3 linked regions of the Schizosaccharomyces pombe genome follow. Changing the gene in region 2 together with the main gene of any one other region gives a genetic interaction. Each region holds a gene or a part of one and is shown on either strand. Other genes may lie near its edges. The genes, in order: ptn1, gnr1 and ado1.

The links.
Region 1: mutations in gnr1 (region 2) and ptn1 together harm fitness less than expected from each alone (positive genetic interaction), as found in Schizosaccharomyces pombe (one large-scale study listed by BioGRID).
Region 3: mutations in gnr1 (region 2) and ado1 together harm fitness more than expected from each alone (negative genetic interaction), as found in Schizosaccharomyces pombe (one large-scale study listed by BioGRID).

What each region holds. Positions count from the first base shown.
Region 1 is NC_003423.3:3,159,717-3,163,542, reverse strand, and holds ptn1 (phosphatidylinositol-3,4,5-trisphosphate3-phosphatase Ptn1), read right to left. Parts: upstream 1,815-3,826; 5' UTR 1,721-1,814; coding exon 674-1,720; 3' UTR 602-673; downstream 1-601. Other genes in the region: iqw1 (WD repeat-containing protein), read right to left, coding at 1-125, 172-265, 311-371; SPOM_SPBC609.01 (Dis3-like exonuclease family protein), read right to left, coding at 2,331-3,826. UniProt on the Schizosaccharomyces pombe protein: Acts as a phosphoinositide 3-phosphatase and regulates PtdIns(3,4,5)P3 levels.
Region 2 is NC_003421.2:765,280-769,235, forward strand, and holds gnr1 (heterotrimeric G protein beta subunit Gnr1 ), read right to left. Parts: upstream 2,265-3,956; 5' UTR 2,091-2,264; coding exon 891-2,090; 3' UTR 657-890; downstream 1-656. Other genes in the region: wybutosine biosynthesis protein Tyw1, read right to left, coding at 2,707-3,956. UniProt on the Schizosaccharomyces pombe protein: Negatively regulates the pheromone-response pathway. Acts as a structural mimic of the G protein beta subunit thereby interacting with gpa1 which then inhibits gpa1 signaling.
Region 3 is NC_003421.2:1,349,137-1,352,997, forward strand, and holds ado1 (adenosine kinase), read right to left. Parts: upstream 1,983-3,861; 5' UTR 1,949-1,982; coding exon 926-1,948; 3' UTR 501-925; downstream 1-500. Other genes in the region: dolichyl-diphosphooligosaccharide--protein glycotransferase subunit Wbp1, read right to left, coding at 1-86, 133-262; COG complex subunit Cog4, read right to left, coding at 2,857-3,861.

The sequences.
Region 1 (3,826 bases), on a different chromosome or scaffold from region 2:
TGAAGATATTTTGAACATGGCCAGTAGATATTAAATGCCGTGGCTTGTATTCATTGAAAACATCCCAGACAATTAGTCTTGTATCATCACTTCCTGATAACAAGAATTCACCGTCCGCGGACCAGCTGAAAATTGTAAGCATTGTAGAACAAATTGTTATAAAACACTTACTCTAGTGTATTAACACATCCCGTATGACCAGTTAATTCTTTCTGCAAATCTATACCGGTCAACCAAGTCGAATTGCCGTAGATATCTCGACTGACTAATAAACTAGTTAGCATCATTCAAAAACAAAACAAGAGCATACTTTTTCGCTGAAACCAATCTCTATAATCCAATTGACGCAAGGATAGTGATATCCCAGACATGAGAGTCAATTCAGCGATTAACAAGCGTTGGTGGAAGACAAGCTCAATTCAAGTGGATGTCGGTAATGTAGCCACGATGAGTTAATACCATAAATCGTAACTGCAAACTCGAATCTTAGAGTATAAGCCTTAAACTCAAACTCCTATGTTTTTTTTAAAATTTAAAAAAAAAACTTGAAGCGCCTCTGTAATTTACTGAAGTAGAAACACTTCAACATGTGAGTTTATTTCGATGATCGAAAGGAGGATCTAATTGCACAAATAATCATTTTATTTTACACTAATATAATATTTACAAAATATCAAAAAACATTTTCATATACAATTGTCAGTTGTTCGAAAAAGGGGTCACTTCGTCGGCTATTATCCATTTCAGACCAGGAGAACGAAATTGACTGTTGTCCTTGCAGAAAGGAATTTATACCTTGTTGAAAATTTATCCCGTTTGTGTATTCCACAAGCATAGGTTGAAAGTGAGTATGAAACCAACATTGCACACTCGAAGGAAAGTAAAACTGGCCCTTGCGTTCGACTCTGAGCAAAAGGTCTTTCTCCGATGTTTCTAGGTTGCATTGTATCCCCCATATACGTTTTCCTTCTTTTATGCTTACATTATGGGATGATATATCTGAACTCTTCCACAGAGCAACTGGATTTATGTTTCGTCCCTTAGAGAAGGCATGCAATGATAGAATCAAAGATGAATTTTTTTTAATATTCAAACATTTAAAACTTTTAAAAAAAGTGGTACCAGTATTAAATTCCACAGCTTTCAAATAATTCGGGAACTGTTTTAAAATTTCGATATAATAGACGTAACGTATTTGCGATGAAATGGTAAGACCGTGCCCTCGAACCATTCTTTTTTCAGTATATAGTTCAAGACTTTGCTTGGCTGTCAAGCCTCCGAAAGCTACCAAGTAGCTACATATTACAGTTCCTGTACGTCCTTTTCCGGCCTTACAATGAACTACCAATGTCAACAAAGGTTGCGTTTGAAAGAGTGCATCCATATTCATAACAATAGCCCATAAAAAGAGAAGCGGAGGTGGATTATGATCTTGAAATCCATAATTTATGACATTTGGTTTAAATAATTCCAAATGGTAAACTGTTTCTTCGGCACATAAATTCAACAATATCCAGTTGTCTTTCAATTGCGTTGTAAGATATTTAAATACATCCAATTCGTCGTTTCGATATAACTTATGTATTCCAGCAGCCGGTGTAGACATAGCAATTACCTTGGAAGTAATATAAACCATATCTAAGTAAGCAAAGCTACGATTCACTTTTTCTTGTTTGAGGCCTTTTCGACCCCTCGAAACTACTGATCGAAGTATATTCATGGAAAATTACATGTTTAATTAGTTATTTGTAATATACTAGGATAATACTGCAGATGCCGTTGACTGTTGAAATATGAGGTAAGCTGCACTGTTCAGAAGAAAATAAGAGAAATACAATAAAGATTTTAGTAATGAACTTTAAGCGGGTAGGTATCAACCATAGTGACGTGAATAAATAACTAATTTACTTTTAATTATTTATATATTTTGATAGCAATGATTTGATAATCCATTTTATTGAAAAAAACATAAGGGCATAACTTTTCCCTTTAAACGATGCAAAAGTATTACTAGTAAAAAAAAATAATAAAGAAATAAAAAAAAAAAAATGAGAAAAATGAATAAAAAAAGCCAATAAGAAATACAATCGTAAGACATGAACCGTAAATAAGCATTAAAATATTTTGATAAAAATCCTTAAAAACATTTAAGTCCACCAAAAAACAAACAAACCCATGCGATTATTCGAATCCTCTAAAATAAATCCAAAACGTTTAGGTAAAAAGAAATAAGTGGTAGAAGTATATAACGTTAGACATATGCAATTAATCATACATTAAAAATAAATCGTGAGGCATACACATTAGCGAAGATCACCAGTTATTGAAGATTAACTGGATAGAGGACTTTGTAAAGTAATTAACGAGAGTGAGTAAGTAGCGGAAGTATCAGCAAATATAAGTACACTAACCTCTTGGCCTGGACGGATGGTTTGAACAACCTCAGGCTCTTTCATACGTAAACTATGAAGTTTTCCATCTCCGGAAATATCCTGATTGCCAGAGGAACTTTTAGCTGTTTTACTAGTACTGTCATTGCCTCGAGCCTTTGAATAGAAAGACTCCTGGGACTCAGCAGCGTTAGCTAAATCCCGAACCTGTGCATCCATCATATCGCATATTTGTTTGCACATCCCGTTGGAATCCAAAAATTTTTTCTTAAAGTCATTGAAACAAGGTGTATCAATTTCCAAAGAAGATGAAGCATAAAAGAAAGAAGCATTTGTCCTCCATGATAAATAGAGTTCGTGTTTTTGCTCATTAAAGTCGCAGTTACTAAGCGGTAGCAGATCCAAGGAGATCCTTCTTTCCAAGCCAAATTCGTATATGACTATGTCAATATACTCCTGGTCAACAGCCAAAACAAAAGCCTTATGCTTAACGAGCCCAGATCGTAAATTAATAGAATGGAGAAGTTGACATAAATATGCATGTAGACTTTTTTCCTGGGCATTACGGTAGAAGTTGCTCAGTGTGTTACAAGACTGAGTTATAGAAAGTAAACTTCTGTAGTCTTTGGAAAAGTCTGGTCTGCCATCAAAGGCTTCGCGTAATTGTCTCTGTACACATATATCGATATATCTACGAGTAGGGTGACAAAAATGGGTGTAGTAAGGACAAGAGAACACAAAATGCGAAACATCCTTAGCATTTGAAGTACCGATAGTGTATTCAGATTCATTACACATTCTTCTTAGAGTCAATTGTAGTAACATTTTGGTTCTCTTATCCTTGGTAGTTGCAATTTCGGTCATGATTTCCGAAGGAGTAGATGAAGCAGATAAATTCACTCCGGTTAACTCAGAAACTGCAACAAGAGATGCAAAGTCAGAAGGTCTTTGATTTTTTCGCAAAATCACTTTACTGGGAAAAACAGACATTAAATGAGATGCAACTTTCTCGTTTACCCAATGTTCAATTTGTTGTAAAGAACATGCAATAGGGAATGCCTCAAAAATACTCATGTTAATATTCTGTATATTAGGAATCTGCCCATCGCAAAATTCAAAGCAGTATAAGGATTGTAAGTCAAGTTTCTTATCTGTTTTCAATCTTAGTTTGGTAAGGACATGGGCCGATGCATCAACTAGCTGAAGCGCTTCGTTGGTTTGCAAGTTTGCTTGTGCACTTTCTAAACTAATAAAACTTGACGGGTGGATTACAGAGGGCCCAAGGGAACACTGTAAAACAGCGCCGCTTTTCAAATCAAGCTGTACAACTATACTAATTGTTAAACAATCATGTCCCTCTATAAGGGAAATCTCTTCTGAGACCTTTTTCGGTAAAAAGGGTACGGAACCTTGCAACAATTGTACTTCTGATACTC
Region 2 (3,956 bases):
GGATTTGTTTATAAGATTTCAATCTTTTTTCTTTTTCTTTTTTTTTTCTTGGTTTTAGAATTTTTATTTTTATATATTTATTGATTAATTGATTTACTTATTGATAGATTGGTTGGTTCATTTTTTTTCTTTCATCTTTTTCCAATCTATATGTATGTGTATATAAATATTTTTTATTTTATTATTTATTTTTTATTTATTTATTTTTTTCATTTCCCTCTATTTATTCACTCCGGATCACTTCCATCCTTATGTTATTTTAAAAAAAAATTTTTTTTTTCTTGTTCTATACTTCTGTTTATTTTCATGTCCTTTTCATTTCGTTCAATTAATTTCATTCCATTTCCTTTTCTAATATTTTTTTTCCTTTGCGATCGCTACCTTTTCCATACATATCTTGTTTTTTCCTCCATAGTATCCACCTTGTAAAACAAAATTCAATTAAATTGAAAAATTAATATTTTTAACAAATTTTTGAAAAGTTCGAAACTGCTGATTTACAATTTTCATCCATTCTTTGCTTTCCATTTTCTCCATTTCTCCTCTACTTGCGACACTTGGAAATCCATGTATAACCGAGTTTAAGGTTATTTAATAAGCGAATGTGTAGTTTTATTAATACAAAGATTGTTGCGCTCTTATAATCAACTATTTGCATAAAATTCATCTCTTTTATTTTTTAATTTATCATAATCTAAATAATGAAACCCCTCAACATGTCTGAGGACTCCTCCTGATTGCGAAAAAAACACCCATTCACCAATACACCAATTTAGAACCGGTTTTCTAATGTTTTTCTATTAATAATCAAATCATCCTCATAAAGTTCTTCCTTCAAGCTCACCATTTTTTATTTTTTCAAGTATTCATTCATTCCAAATTTTGCTTTTTCAATCCATCCAAACCTGTAAAGCCGAAACCGTTCCTGTCCAAAGATCCTTCTCTTTACTTTCATCCTCTTCTTCACTTTCATCCTTCTCATACTTGTAAATTCTATTTCCATAACATACACACTTTATCTGCATGTTTATAGGGTTCGCTTGTACTGTGTTTACCGTCAAATCGTAATTTCCCGTCACATGCGTTTCTTCCACAAGATCCTTGTTTCTCCATCTACGAATACTTCCATCCGTCCCACCTGCCAAAATTTCATCCTTTTTATCAGTGTCGAAAAGAATCCTTTGGTTCGTATCGCCACGATGCCCTTCAAGAGCATATACCATGTCGCGCACATACCGTATATCCCAAACTTCAATCTTATCACTGCATCTGCTTCCAACATATAACTTTTCTCCATCCTCACACCATTGTAGATGTGTCACTCCGTTTCCTCTTTCAATCGAAAACTCTAGCTGACAAGGGCGACGTCCGCAATCATTATAAATCCCAACTCGATTTGAATACGTTCCCACTGCCAATGTTTTCGAATCCATCGGATTCAAGGAAAAGCATGACTGTATACCCTTAAGACTAAATTCCCAAAGAGGGACTTTATATCCATGGGTTACCGTTGTCATGACAGGTTCTTTACATCCCGTTCTTATATTAAAATGATGGAGACAGTTTTTATCACCCGCAATCAAATACTCCCCATCGTTGGTAAACTGTAAACAATGCGATCCTTGATATCTCTCTTGGTGATCTATCATGTGATATGAAGCCTTGTTCTTTCCTGTAGTAAAATTGATCAACTTGATAGGTTGATCCCTACTAGACACTGCAAAAAGGTTACTGGAAGGATCGTCAAGTTTCATTCTCGAATACCAACTGTAACTGTAAACTGTTTCCGGTGATTGATATTTATACGACAGATGTTTTGAAAAGTTCAATGGTCCATCAGCCTTTTTGGATAAATCGGAAAACGGCACATTCCAACAGTTAAGACATTGATCCTCTGTTAACGAAAGTATAGTCGATCCATCCGGCGACCATCTTGACGAATGAAAAAAATTCAATGGCTTTGTTGGACTTTGAGCAATCACATTTGTTCCTAAATTAATACTTCCGCATACATAGCCGAAATTTTGACTTTTCTTCTTATGCACCAAGTCATCCTTCTGATCCTCAAAGGAGTTTACACAATTATCCATTCCTTCCTCAAGTTAACCTACTTTATTAACCATGTATGGATTATGGCTCTTCACAATGTCAACTTTAATTTTTTAAATATATAATATATATATGGATTTCTTTCTATCTGGTCATAAGGGTTGAAAACGAATAGTCCTTCTTTAAAAAACGAATTGTAATCATATGTAGTAGTTGTAATCTCAGTATGCTCGAATTACTCCAAGACATTTCCACGAGTCCTAAAACAGAAAGAATGTATTCTTTGTTTCTCAATCATAAAAAAAAAAGAAAATTAAAAGTTACGACTCAGGTTACTATATAAATAAAAATAGAGACAGGTTGCGATATACTTGTCTAACTAAAAAAACAATTGAGTACAATATCGTCAACATTTTTATTACTTTACGCCCATTGAAACTATAAATATATGAACGAAATTAAGCAAATAAGCCTTCATCGTTTTTTTGTATTGATAAATCAAAAAATATATTAATGAATTAACGAAAATAACCTATGCCAAAATCTTAATTTTTTTTTATCAATGAGTGCAGACGCGTACAAAAACTGCTCAACAGTTCATAAACTTTAGAGTGTGTCACTCTTTTTTTTCTTCAGCTATTTACTACAAAAGTTGGCTTACGCAGCGGCTTCCGAAATTGTAGCAGTTTCTGAAATGGTTGCAGAAATTGGTTTAGATGTTTGTGTCTTTTTCTTCCTGTGAAATCTTGTATCCTCTGGACTGAATCCACCGTTCCCAAACATGGCAAAATCGGGCGTGGATGCCATATAATCGAATGGACCAAAGTCTTTCTTTGTCCGTATTAATTCGAAAAACTTTGGATAATCAATGTGAGTATGCCAATGGCCATCTTTTTTGAACGCAGTTTGAGCAACTAAAATACTGCAGCTGTGTGCATGTTCTGCAGCAATTTCATAGCGGACGCCAAGGTCTTGTAAATGAATATCAATATACTCAATCAATTTTTTAACAAAGTCAATTACCTCTTCATAATAAGGCACATTCTTCATAGTCAACGGTGATTGATCCGAATTACCACTATAAGTAACCCCCTTAACTTCGATGAAACAAGGCACACCAAGACGAATCAGTTCAGTATACTCTTTAATTTGCTCCATGTTGAATCCCTTCACCAAGGTCATTCGGTAAACAGTACGCTGCCGCTTTTCACGTAAAATCTCCAAACACGTTAGCATTCGCTCCCAAAAATCCTTGAATAATGGTCGGTCTACTGATTTGAGACTCTGCTTAGTACTGGCATCAACAGAAACGTAGAGTTGAGTGACCATACCCATATTTCTTAATGCTTCAGGATGCTGGGCATTTGTTACTAAGAACGATGAAATCTCTCTTTCATGAAGCATGGACACAAATTCGTTTATGTATGGATAAAATATAGGCTCTCCAACCAAGGACAAAGCACAGTGACGAACACGAGACGCTTCTTCATATCTGTCGGGTAGAACACCAGGTACACCTTTCATTAATTTTAACTTGGCATAATGAGCCTTCAATATACCCTGAAGTATCATTTCTGGAGGATCAACCTTCCAGCGCCAAGAGGTTCCTACGGGATTCGTACCATGTCTCCAACAAAAAGTACATTTATTAGCACAGGCTAAACTTGGGGTAGCTTCCATACATAGATGACTTCGAATTCCATAGAAACTATACTTATAGCAAAAGCCTCGGCCACGCATAGCAGACTTTGTCCATCTGCAAATCTTTACACCACTATGTGAGCCAACTACGCTGTATCCCTGCTTTGTAAGGGCTTTATACGTAGGAGACTCTGTCGAAACCATCTCTTTAGTACCCACTGGCAAGGCTGCTTCTGCCTTTGCCTTGGCCATCATGGAACCCATAT
Region 3 (3,861 bases), 580 kb from region 2:
CAAGTTGTCGTAAAGACGTTCACCATATTCAAATAGCTTTGCACTTTCATCTTTGATGTAAGAAGTTTTCACATCAAAATCTCTGTCTACATAGTAACAGTTAGTTACTGAACGCGTTAGTCAATATCGTACCCGTAAGTGATTGTAAAAATGTGCTATATCCACCGATATCATGGTCGGCAACAGCCAAAACCGTCTGACGAGCTGCTTGTACTAAAAGCGACCATGTAAGGGCCAAAGCAATACACAATGCGCTCTTCATCGTAGCTGTGTTTCCAAGTGCAAATGTTGGTAGAAGAAGAGATCACTGGTATTAACCAAGCATAGCTACCTCCGCATACTGGTGCTTATGGGATTGCGTTGAACTAATTAACGATATTTTTATAAGAGCATTCAAAATAACGCTAAACTACTTTCAATAACATAAAGACACGTAAAAATTTACTCAACAGTACACTATTATAAAAGTAATTCGTCCAATTTTTATTTGAAATCCTAAATTCCATCGATTGAAATGAATTTAAATTCTTTATATTTCTATTCAACAAAGAAATATTCTCGGTAATAAAATCAGCGTTAGCTTAGCTCCCCTCAGCAATGCTTTATTTAGCAAATTTCTTAACATTGGAATAAATGGCATATACAAATCCCTCAAGAAGTCAAAATGGGTTATTTCCTTGCAATATAATATCCAGTTATTTATATCAGCTTAGCAAAAATAGACTTGTTCTATTAGCTTATAACAATGATACGACAGAACCCATGACATATCAATAAGATAACAAAATATCAATGTCAAAGAATAAAGCCTGCTTTTCTAACTAATTGCAATCATAGTGTGCACAATTTTTAAAGTTAAACATCTAATTAAAACGAAGTGCGTTATCTACGTTGACAGTTTAAAAAATCACTAAAATGCAATAGTCTAAGGTAAAGGGAACTGCTTTTTGGGAAGAGGAAGAGTAGTGCCGCTAACCTTGATGCATTCTTGTCCAAGCCAATGACCGAGAGTAACAGCATAATCGATTCCTTGGCCTTGAGAAAGAGCAGCAATAAATCCACCAGCAAAGGCATCTCCGGCACCATTGGTATCGACGATTTCCTCAGATGGGACGCGGTTGGGCTTGTAAGTGGTTACTTTACCGTCTTTAGCAACGATCGTGGCATCGGCTCCTTGAGTAATGACAACAACACGGGTGCGTTTCTTGTTAACCTTCTCAACAGAAGACAAGGCCAGCGCAATCTCCTGGACGTCGGTACTTTTGATTCCATGATTCTCCCCGTAGCTAAGGATTTCAGCTTCGTTGCCAATAACATAATCACAATATGGGATAACGGAATCCATTTGCTCCTTGAAAAATTGAGAGAGGAAAGGAGCGCTAAGATTCATGATATAGGGCTTGTTATTCTCATTAGCATGTTGAGCTAAACATAACATGGATTCGGGACTGACGGTCAAGTGAAAACCACCGACGTAAATAACCTTTGCTTCCTCAACGAACTTCCATACATTCGGCTGTTGCAAGTCCTTGAGCTTGTAGTTGTTAGCAGCTCCCAAGTTGGTACAAAGGGAGCGATTTTTATTGTTGTTGCTCAAGACGACAGCACAAACACCAGTAGGTGTAGTGGGATCAACAGAAAACTCAGATCGTAATCCAGCTTTTTCGTTCGATTCAAGAAGCATATCAGCAAACTTATCTTGACCAACGCAGCCGGCGAAAACAGTAGAGTTAGGAGGAAGTACGTATTGAGCAGCACGGCAGCTGTTTTGAGCTGCACCACCGGCACTGTAGCTAACGCATGGCTCCTTGTAGATACCCATCTGGCTCTCAGAAGCTAAGACGGCGTCGTTGCTCTTCAAGCCATACTTTTCAAGAGTTGCAGTTTCACCACCAACATAGTAATCCAACAGAGGGTTTTCCAAACCAAACAAGATGTATGAAGACATGATAAATGATTGTAGTAAGGGAAGGGAAAAAGTTAAAGAAAAACCACGAGAAAATACACCAACAGGTAAAGTATCTTAATGTTCAAAGAGCGATATTATGGCATAATTGTAATGCGTTATATTATTAATACTATACTGCGTTAAATATCGATACATGCCATATGGTCTGTTTATCTTTCGCTATATATTGTATGGTAAAGGCATACTATTTTTAATAAACTATTAAAATTTGAGCAGCTAAAAAAATTATCAATATAAGCATAACTGTACAAGCATCCTCAATTTCAGTTATTAGCTATATTGGTGAAAAATATAATACTATGTAACTGAAGATTGACAGTGTATGTTACTTATTGTACCTGTATACTGGAATTCTAGGTCACAACTAATACTCATCGCAATTTTAACCTTCATTAAACTGATTGCAAACTGCATAATTAAACGATATAAACTGTATCACACTCCTTTGCGCCTCGGTATATTATAATCACAATACTTATTTAAGAAGGCCGATCACGAGAAAAATTAGAACTAATAAAGATTAAAAGAGTCGATATTTGATGCTATATACAATTGGTCATGAATATTAACTCCATTCCTGTATTATTTTTTTAACAAAGGGGTTGCTTCAACTTTTAGCGGAAAACTTATCAAAGTGTGGAAGAAATAATAAACTAAGATAAATGATGATCGAGTTGCACTGCGTCAGGGTAGCCGGTTGTCAAAATTTTCAATATACGAATAAAGAAATAAAAACAAAAATAGAGTGAAAAAAAAATAGATATCGGCATCATGCTAAACGTGGAGACGATGATCCGCCGTTTTTTAGGATAAATTTAGGATATGACAGGAGATTACAACTAAAGAACTTTTGGTGCTTCTTCAAATATCCTGAATAAAAAAGGTCGTTAATCTTCACCTTGAACATTCGCTTTCTTTTCCATAATAGCGCTAACAATATCTATGGATAGTAGCTGTAGGTTTAAATCGTTGATCAATTGCTCTGGGGCTGTAGAATCACTTTCCCATACTAATAAGATTAGAATTTCTTGCAAACGCTCAAAGCTATGTCGGAGATTAGCTTGATCATTGGAAAAGATAGTAATTAAGCTAGAAATGTCGTTTTCTAATGCCATAGCACCATAATCATTCCACTGAATCTTATATAGTATGAGGTTTTCTATATAACTTGCAGCTTTCTCGCATGCCATAGAGCGTAAAGAAAGCTGATTTTCAGGAGTAAATTGCTCCAGCAACAAAACCCTGTCCCAAACGCTGCGAAGACGGGTAACTACCAGTCTTTCATGTTCTGTCTCCTTCGTATAGTCTTCATAGGACAAGACATAGTTGATTCCATCAAAGGAATCATCGATGCATTGCTCAATTCGGGGTAATAAAAATATCGGAAAGTACATGTTGAAAGAAGTCTTGCAAAGATTTTCAAAATTAACGGTTAGCTGCAAAAAATTATCAATCGATTTCTTTACCAATTTTTGGTCTTTGGCAAAGGCAAAAACTTCTTCCAACCGACTAGAAACACCATCCACAATTGATTTTAGATATTGCTTGCTGAGTGAAGCACTATTTACCAATGTTATGTAGTTTTCGACTTGTTTGGCGGGAATGCTATTTGCATTCTTTAGCCTCTGGAACTGAGCTTTTATAATGTTACAGACAGTTAAAAGATTATGGGAAAGGTAGACATAGTAATCATTTCTTAAAATAGGGATTAAGCTTTCGTTAACAAATCTGGTGAAGAATAAAGAGGAGACTGTAAAAAACGCACGTTGGAATACTTGCTTCGTAACGTACATGACATCGTCTACAATAGAGCTCATCCATGGGGAAACCTTTGTGTAATATTCCTCAAGTTCCAAAGACGTTTCTATACTTCTCCTGAAATAGTATGTTTC